Macaca mulatta: one gene and its partner. The protein of the gene in region 1 binds, or shares a complex with, the protein of each later gene. Links are inferred from orthologs where the notes say so. Each region holds a gene or a part of one and is shown in the gene's direction. Other genes may lie near its edges.

The links.
Region 2: the proteins of MAPK8IP1 (region 1) and MAPK8 are in contact, whole or in part, in a crystal structure (PDB 3VUM), measured with the Homo sapiens proteins. The link is inferred for Macaca mulatta from reciprocal best matches to the Homo sapiens genes MAPK8IP1 and MAPK8. Residues at the interface, in NP_005447.1 of Homo sapiens: Arg157, Pro158, Lys159, Arg160, Pro161, Thr162, Thr163, Leu164, Asn165, Leu166; in NP_001310257.1 of Homo sapiens: Lys83, Asp112, Ala113, Gln117, Val118, Met121, Leu123, Glu126, Arg127, Tyr130, Tyr133, Val159, Lys160, Ser161, Asp162, His286, Val323, Trp324, Asp326, Glu329.

What each region holds. Positions count from the first base shown.
Region 1 is NC_133419.1:19,718,876-19,722,689, reverse strand, and holds part of MAPK8IP1 (C-Jun-amino-terminal kinase-interacting protein 1), read left to right. Parts: intron 1-1,123; exon of another isoform or gene 1,124-1,523; coding exon of another isoform or gene 1,524-1,594; intron 1,595-2,722; coding exon 2,723-2,828; intron 2,829-3,814. UniProt on the Homo sapiens protein: The JNK-interacting protein (JIP) group of scaffold proteins selectively mediates JNK signaling by aggregating specific components of the MAPK cascade to form a functional JNK signaling module. Required for JNK activation in response to excitotoxic stress.
Region 2 is NC_133414.1:60,723,298-60,726,947, reverse strand, and holds part of MAPK8 (mitogen-activated protein kinase 8), read left to right. Parts: intron 1-1,789; coding exon of another isoform or gene 1,790-1,794; coding exon 1,795-1,940; 3' UTR 1,941-3,650. UniProt on the Homo sapiens protein: Serine/threonine-protein kinase involved in various processes such as cell proliferation, differentiation, migration, transformation and programmed cell death.

The sequences.
Region 1 (3,814 bases):
ACACAGATATGTGCAGGGGGGCCGGGCGCCTTGGCTCATGCCTGCAATCCCAGCACTTTAGGAAGCTGAGGCAGGCAGATCACCTGAGGTCAGGAGTTCAAGACCAGCCTGGCCAACATGGTGAAACCCCGTCTCTACTAAAAATATAAAAATTAGCTGAGCGTGGTGGTGCACACCTGTAATATCAGCTACTCAGGAGGCTGAGGCAGGAGAATCACTTGAACCCAGGTGGCAGAGGTTGTGGTGAGCCAAGATCATGCCATTGCTCTCCAGCCTGGGTGACAGAGTGAAACTCTGTCTCAAAAAAAAAAAAAAAAAGTGCAGAGGTCACTGACAGAGCAGGGGCATTTGAGGGCACCTCTGGGTCAGCAGTCCTGCAGCTCTCCCATGCCATCTGAGTCCCCCTTTGCACCACTGGCCTTCTCGGTGACCATCTGGGCAGCCAGTGTGAATTGAACACTTACTTGGTGTCGGCCACTGGGTTACTGTCCCTGAGCTAGAGATGCCACCCTGTCCTGGACGGATGCAGGAGGGCTGCTCTGGCTTCTGGGCCAGGCCCTCCTCCCCAGTTCCACCCCAGCTGGCCGGCCACACCCTCCCCATGGCCCGGGGAACCACCACCCTTGGGCTGCAAGTCAGAAGTGACCCTACAGGGCACCTTGTCCATCCAGCCCCCATCCCCCACCCCTCTGTGCAGTGCCCTCCAGGGGCCTCCAGGTTCTGTTTATGTCACTCCAAAGGGACAGGAAGCTCGTTACCACCCAGCAGCCCTTCCAGCTCTGCTCTAAGGGCCCAAACACTGGCCCGCCCTTAGCTGTGGCTCTGGCGCCTCCTGCATCCATAGGCCCTGCCTTCCTGGGTCCTGAAGGCTTTGAGCCCTGGCTGCAGGAGGAGGCAGCCCAGATCAAATCCAGTCTGGATGCATCCTGGGCCCACAGAAGCCTCCCAGATGAGGTCGGAGGGCTGAGCCTATGGCAGTGCGAACGGAGTGTTCATTCTTGAGGTGTTTGGGAAGTGCCCCCTCATCTCCCACCTGGCACCCTGACTGGGGCACTGGCCCTTTAAAGCCAATCAAGGGCTGGCTTTTGGGGGGAAACATCCTAGATTTCTGCCATCTACTTACAAGCCTGGGCCAGGGAGGGGGGCCACCTCAGTCCCCGACAGGGGCATTGGAAGGGCAGGTGGAGCCAGTGGCATTGATTGAAGTAACCTGATCCCGTGAGGGAGGCGGCCACAGTGACAGCAGCGCAACGGCCAGCTGGGAGGAAGCTGCCTGCAGCTGAGGGCTGCGTTGGGAAGAGCTGGGGCTGGGACCCGGGTCGGCAGCTGCAGCCTCCTCTCCTGGCCTATCTATTTTTAATGAGCTCCCCAGGCTTCTGCAGCGGGCAGGACGCAGAAAGACAGGCCCAGGCGGTGGAGGCCAGAGGCCCCCAGCCCTGCCCTGAGCCCTGGCCCCCGCACCCTTCTGGGCATGAGAGGGCAGCCCTGGGGCCCCGCAGCCCCCCTGCCGGGCAGGGCTCTCCATGCAGCTGGTGCTGAAGATGGATTCGAGCCCAGACAATGACAGCTGGTTGGAGGATCAATGGGAGCGCTGGTAGGGGCTACCGGGGCTGGCAGGGGTGGAGACCAAGCTGGGGTGAGCTCCATCGAGCTCAGGGTCTCTATTTGGTCTGATTGAGGCGAGCGGCAGGGAGTCTAGGCCTCCTAGGTTCCCCTGGGGGCTAAGCCACCATCTCTCCTGGGTGACCTTGGACTCGTGGGTTTCCCTTGCTCTGTGCCTCAATTTCTTGGACTTATCTGGGAAAAGCCTCATACATTCTTCCCAACTTCCCAAATGTTCTACCCTCCAGCAAGCCAGGCAGAGTGCCCAGGACTAGAGGTGAGCAAGAGACAGGCTGCCTTGCAGTGGCTAGCCCAGCTCTGCATTCTGAGGTGGGGACTCAGGGCTGGCCTAGGGAGAGGGGGGTTCTGGTGAAGCTGGTTAGTGTTGTAGTGCCCCGGTGCTCTGAGCTGTCTCCTGAGCTTATAACACCTCTGATTCCACCTGGGGCTTTTCCTGACCCCATGTGTGCAGCCTCCTGTTCAGGGTCCTTACGATGGAAAAGGAGAAGATTTTGTGGTTGAAGAGATGAGACCACCAAGTGCACAGCATGAGGCTATAGTCCTTTCTGGAATAGGCTGAAACTACCCACACCAGATTTTCCTTCGCTTGTTCCCTGGGCTCAAGGGGCATGAGTCTTCCTGAGCTGGGGCGTGGGGCCCTCCTTTGAGGCTGCTGCCAGCACCTCGGGTCTTGCTACTGCAGAGGTTGCACTGGGAGCTCTCCTACTCCAGGCTTGCTGCTCTTCTCAACTCCATGGATTCTCCATGGTGAACTGGCCTTGGCACCTGCCTTGACCCTGGGAGGAGGCTCTGACCAGTTAGGCCTTCTAAGCACTGCCTGCTGGTTGGCAACAGAATGACAACTCCCAGGGAGGAGCTGGAGTAACCCAGAGCCGCCTCTTCCGCTGCCACCCTAGGAGGATTGCCTTTTGGCCCGAGCCCCATGCTCTTTCCCTGCCTGCTGACTACCCCCTGCATTGACACAGATGGACCCCAAATCCTGTCCTCTGGGGGCTGTGTTCGGCCTTCAAGAGGCTGCCCCCTGAAAGAGGTAACAGGGAGATGTGAGCGGGCATAGCAGTGCCCCTGAGTTGTAACTTTGGCTTCCTGTCCCCACCAGGCTCACCCACGACATCAGCCTGGAGGAGTTTGAGGATGAGGACCTCTCGGAGATCACTGATGAGTGTGGCATCAGCTTGCAGTGCAGAGACACCCTGTCCTTACGGGTAAGGGTGAGCTCCCAGGAGCTCCTGAGTGGGGTGGCAGGAAGACTAGGGACGGGGTAAGGGCATCCCCATATCGATAAAGGGGTTTCAGGTCTGTGCTGGCACCCTCATGAAATGAAATGATGTGCAAGAAACATAGGTATACTGCTTGGCATGTCTTGGGTGTACAATCAGAATTTTATTTATTATTATTATTATTATTACCGCTGTCGGGGACTAAGGCAGGAAGTAGCTCCTTCAGCTGCCCACAAGATGAGAGAGGTAGGAAGTCTTGAGACCTAGGGCATTAACAATTAGGACCAGACTTAAGGGAGACTCAGGGCTACCCTAAATCCTTTTGGGAGCAGCCCTGGAAAGGGCCTGAGGCAGACAGGGTGGAGTCTGGTAGAATCTGCAGTGCTTTGAGGCAGGAAGAAACAGCCAAGGCACTCCTGGAATAACTCCTGTGGCTGCTGGCTGCTATACACCAGACAGATGGCACTGCATGGCCTCCCAGACCATCTCTGGCCCCTAGTCCTAAAGGCCCCCACTGAGGAGTTTGCCCAGCATTGCTGCTGGTTTGGGCCCTTGGCTTTGTCCTAGGGAAGATGACTGTCTCCTGTCCCTAAAGATCTGAATGCTGCCAGGAAGTCCCCAGCACCTGGGGAGCTGCGGTCAGATGGGGATCCCAACTATGTCTTTTCAGAACAGGAAGAAGGGGCTGGCTAGCCAGGAAATGGAGGACAGAGCACAGGGGTTGGTTTTAGAGCCCAGAGCTCCTCTGAGCCCCCAAGAGGGCAGGTAGCCAGATATGGTGTCAGGAGAGTGGTTACCATAGGAGCATGCATTATGCCTTGGGGAGGGGGTGCCTGTCTCTGTGTTGACCTCCTGCTACCCCCAGAGACTCAGTAAGCTCTGCCAGGCAAGAGGAAACCAAGGGGTGTGGATAACCCCCTAGTCCCCAGTACCCCAACCTTCCACTCTCCGGCCAGGCCAGGAAGAGGCAG
Region 2 (3,650 bases), on another chromosome or scaffold:
CTTGAGTGTGTAGAGACTCACTTGAGAGAGGAATGACCCACCTGAGACTAATGATTTTCTATATTATTACCATTCAGATATTTGAGAATTTACTGTATTGCTTTAAAGAAAAAACAAGTGTGTGGTTTTTTTTCCTTAGGTACTTGATTTTTAGATTAAAAAGTTAATGCATTTAAAAGTTAATTTTTATCAGATTAAAACATTTGGATAAAATAATAGACCCTGAACTAGAGGCATATATAAAAATTATATATGTTGGATCCCTTTTATGGTTTGAATGTTTCAGTACAAGTCTTAGAAACTAGCCATTGTGTACTATGTATGTTACACAGATGTATCATACTGTTCAGTCAGAAAAGGCTCATTCCAAGTATTGACTGAACTAAAAAGAATATACTATCTCAGTTTCACTCTGACTGAGAAGCTAATGGACCTTTCTTGGGTCTAGGAGATTATCACCTATTTTACCTCTCATCTCTCAGGCCTGAAATACTCATCCTGCTTTTCTCTTCTGTTTCAACTCCCATCACCTGCTTTGTCTCTTGTGGTTCCATTCCTTTCTGTCTCCCAGTCCCCTCCCTAAAGATTTTCCTATTCCCACTACACTGCCTGTTTTCTTTTTGCATTTGAAGAAAAGCTCGCAGAGGACCTTTCATATTGAAGTGTTTTATTGCTTATCTGGACAGAATGGAGAGATGATCTCAAATACAGATGCTGGGTTCAGGAGCAGTGGTTTTCAGCCATATTTGGTTTCAGCATCGTTGGGTGCCTGAACCTCACCCTCAGAAATTCTGCTCAGTGTTCCATTTGAAGACCATTGATTTTATTTCATAAATGTATTCTTGAGAACTTTTAAGTAACTTGCGTTATTCAAATTTGGAATGACCCTTATTTAGTGTTCATGTGGTTTAAAAGTACTTAGCCTAGTGCATGAGTTACCTTTTTTCTCTATACCCCAGTGTAAGTCATTCCTGTCCCCTTCCTAAACCAATCCCCTTGAGAGGATTTCTGTCTCGAGCTCAGGTATTCGTGTTACTTTTTAAAATTCAGGAAGTCCTTATTAGGTAATACTTTCGGCAAAAGAAACTGTTTGCTCCTACTTTATCTATTTAATAAATCCATATTTCTACTTATCAAGTATTAGCGTAGAAATAAGAAGACCCAAGTTTACTTAACTAGGCCATTTGAGTGACACTGTCATGTCCCATAACCTTGTATAAACTGGGGCAGTTGAATTAAGGTTTCTTCCTGTTAAAATTATTTTATTCCTTGGCGCTTGCTTTAAAACAAGATGTGCCAGAAGTACATCTTGTTTCAAATTTGAATCATTTGAATTTTTCCTTTTTAGTGCAAAGCTATAAAGACTTTTTTGTAGGGAAGTAGCTTTTAACTTTTGTAGTTATACAGTCCTTTAAGATCTTCTGTCCAAAAAAAGGCATTACAGACAGTTTTGCATGTATTATCAGCAGTATTCACACGTACCCTGAAGCCCATTTGTGGATCTTGCTGCAGGACCATTTCTAAATGTGGCTCAGATGTAAATTCTTGTCTTAAACTGGAAAACACATTCATTGAAAGGATAGGACTCCACGATTCTAGACATTTTCAGAATTCTCACCTCATAGCTGTCAATGAAGAGTGTTTTTTAGTGTATTGGATATCATTTGCGATTATTTTTAGTGAGCCTTCTAAACCCAAGAGAAAAAATTACCACTAGAGGCAGGCAGTGCAGTGCAAGTAGCTCGATCTGCAGCTGTCTGCAACTGATTTGCTGTTTTGTTTCTCATAGCACAGGTGCAGCAGTGATCAATGGCTCTCAGCATCCATCGTCATCGTCGTCTGTCAATGATGTGTCTTCAATGTCAACAGATCCGACTTTGGCCTCGGATACAGACAGCAGTCTAGAAGCATCAGCTGGGCCTCTGGGCTGCTGTAGATGACTACTTGGGCCGTGGGGGGGTGGGAGGGACGGGGAGTCGGTTAGTCATTGATAGAACTACTTTGAAAACAATTCAGTGGTCTTATTTTTGAGTGATTTTTCAAAAAATGTAGAATTCATTTTGTAGTAAAGTAGTTTATTTTTTTTAATTTCAAGTGATGTAATTTAAAACCTAAGTTGTGTTTCAAAACAGCAACAAAACTGTATTGTATTTTTTGCTGTAATTAACTGTATAATGTAAACCTAATTATTTTATCATGTTTTAAATTTTTTGCATATTTGCTTTATCTTATGCTGCTGATTTTTTTAACTGAATTTGTAAGATTTTGTTTATCAAAGCAACTATTATGTGGTGACTTGCCTATATCATGAATTATTTAAGATTTTTATAGTTTTTTTTATTAGAATTTATTTCAGATGTTTTGTTCATGATACTATCCTTCAGGGTTATGTGCTTATCAATGAAATAACCCCAGAGGAGTGAGGGAAAATAACTTGTAGCCAGTTATATTCAGGAATAACTACTGTAAATGATGAACGTGTTAGGAGACCTCCAATATTTGCTACTTGCCAATCCTAATTTAGTTACAAGAATTGGTAGGCAATCCTACTTAATTTTGGCAAAAGCCCCGTCATCTAAGTGGCAGAATAACTCAGAGCATGTCTTTGAAGATGCTGGGCATCTACCACCACCTTATGTCCCCACCCTACCCAACAGAAATAAGTAAAAAGAACATGGTGTATTCTGCAAATTTGTGGCATGCTCAAAGTTTATGATCACATAAAGTCAAGAGGATACTTCATGAATAATACATTTCAATGCAAATAAACAGATGGTTCACTTCTACTAGCTATGAGCCTGTTTTTGTATACACTGAGTTAATCTACTCAGGCTGTAGGTCCCAGCAATGTTCTAGAGTCTAGTCTTTCCCTTTCCTGCAGCTTCGGGCCCTTGGACCTTTCCGGTTTCCTATTACTTGGAGTGTCTATCAGTTGAACACCAGTTGTTCTGGTGTTTCTGGCCATTTGATTCTACTTGTAGCATAATCATATTTATACTAGCTATTGGGAGGTTCCAAAGCCTACCTAGATTTGTGTAGGTGATGTATCAAATGAGCAATATACCGTTCATCTGAAAATAGTAGCACACAGCCATATATAGGATGTCATTTTCTAAGGACTGTTTCTTCACATTGAGCAGAGCAGGCATAAATGGTGGTTATTTAGTCTGAGTCTTTTATTTTTTTATACCTGATTTTCAACATAACATGCAATGTGGATGTCGAGTAGTGTAAGAATGGTGCTGCTCCTGACAAGTGTATGTTAACTGTTTACATTTTCTATCTGCAGAATTATTTCTCTATAACTGAACTTTTCCCAAGTAAAATGTCTTTGAAGTCTCGTTATTTCTGAAATACGGTGTCTGTAATAGACCCAGGCACCTTTTAAATGATCTCTGGAACAAGAGGGATTTCATGTAATGAACTAGGAAATGCATACTCACATAAGCAGCAAGGTTCTAGGCAGAAAGCCCCTTGGAATTCGTGACCAATGGGAAGAACAGGTGTGGCTTAACATGCAGTGTCTGAAAATTTGCTTGGCATTTTATTCATATATTTAGTGCAAAATTCCTTTTGAATGAGATATTTTACATCATTGTTAATGTGCAATATTTAAGATTAAAATACGTTAGCCTTTTTATATACTTTGA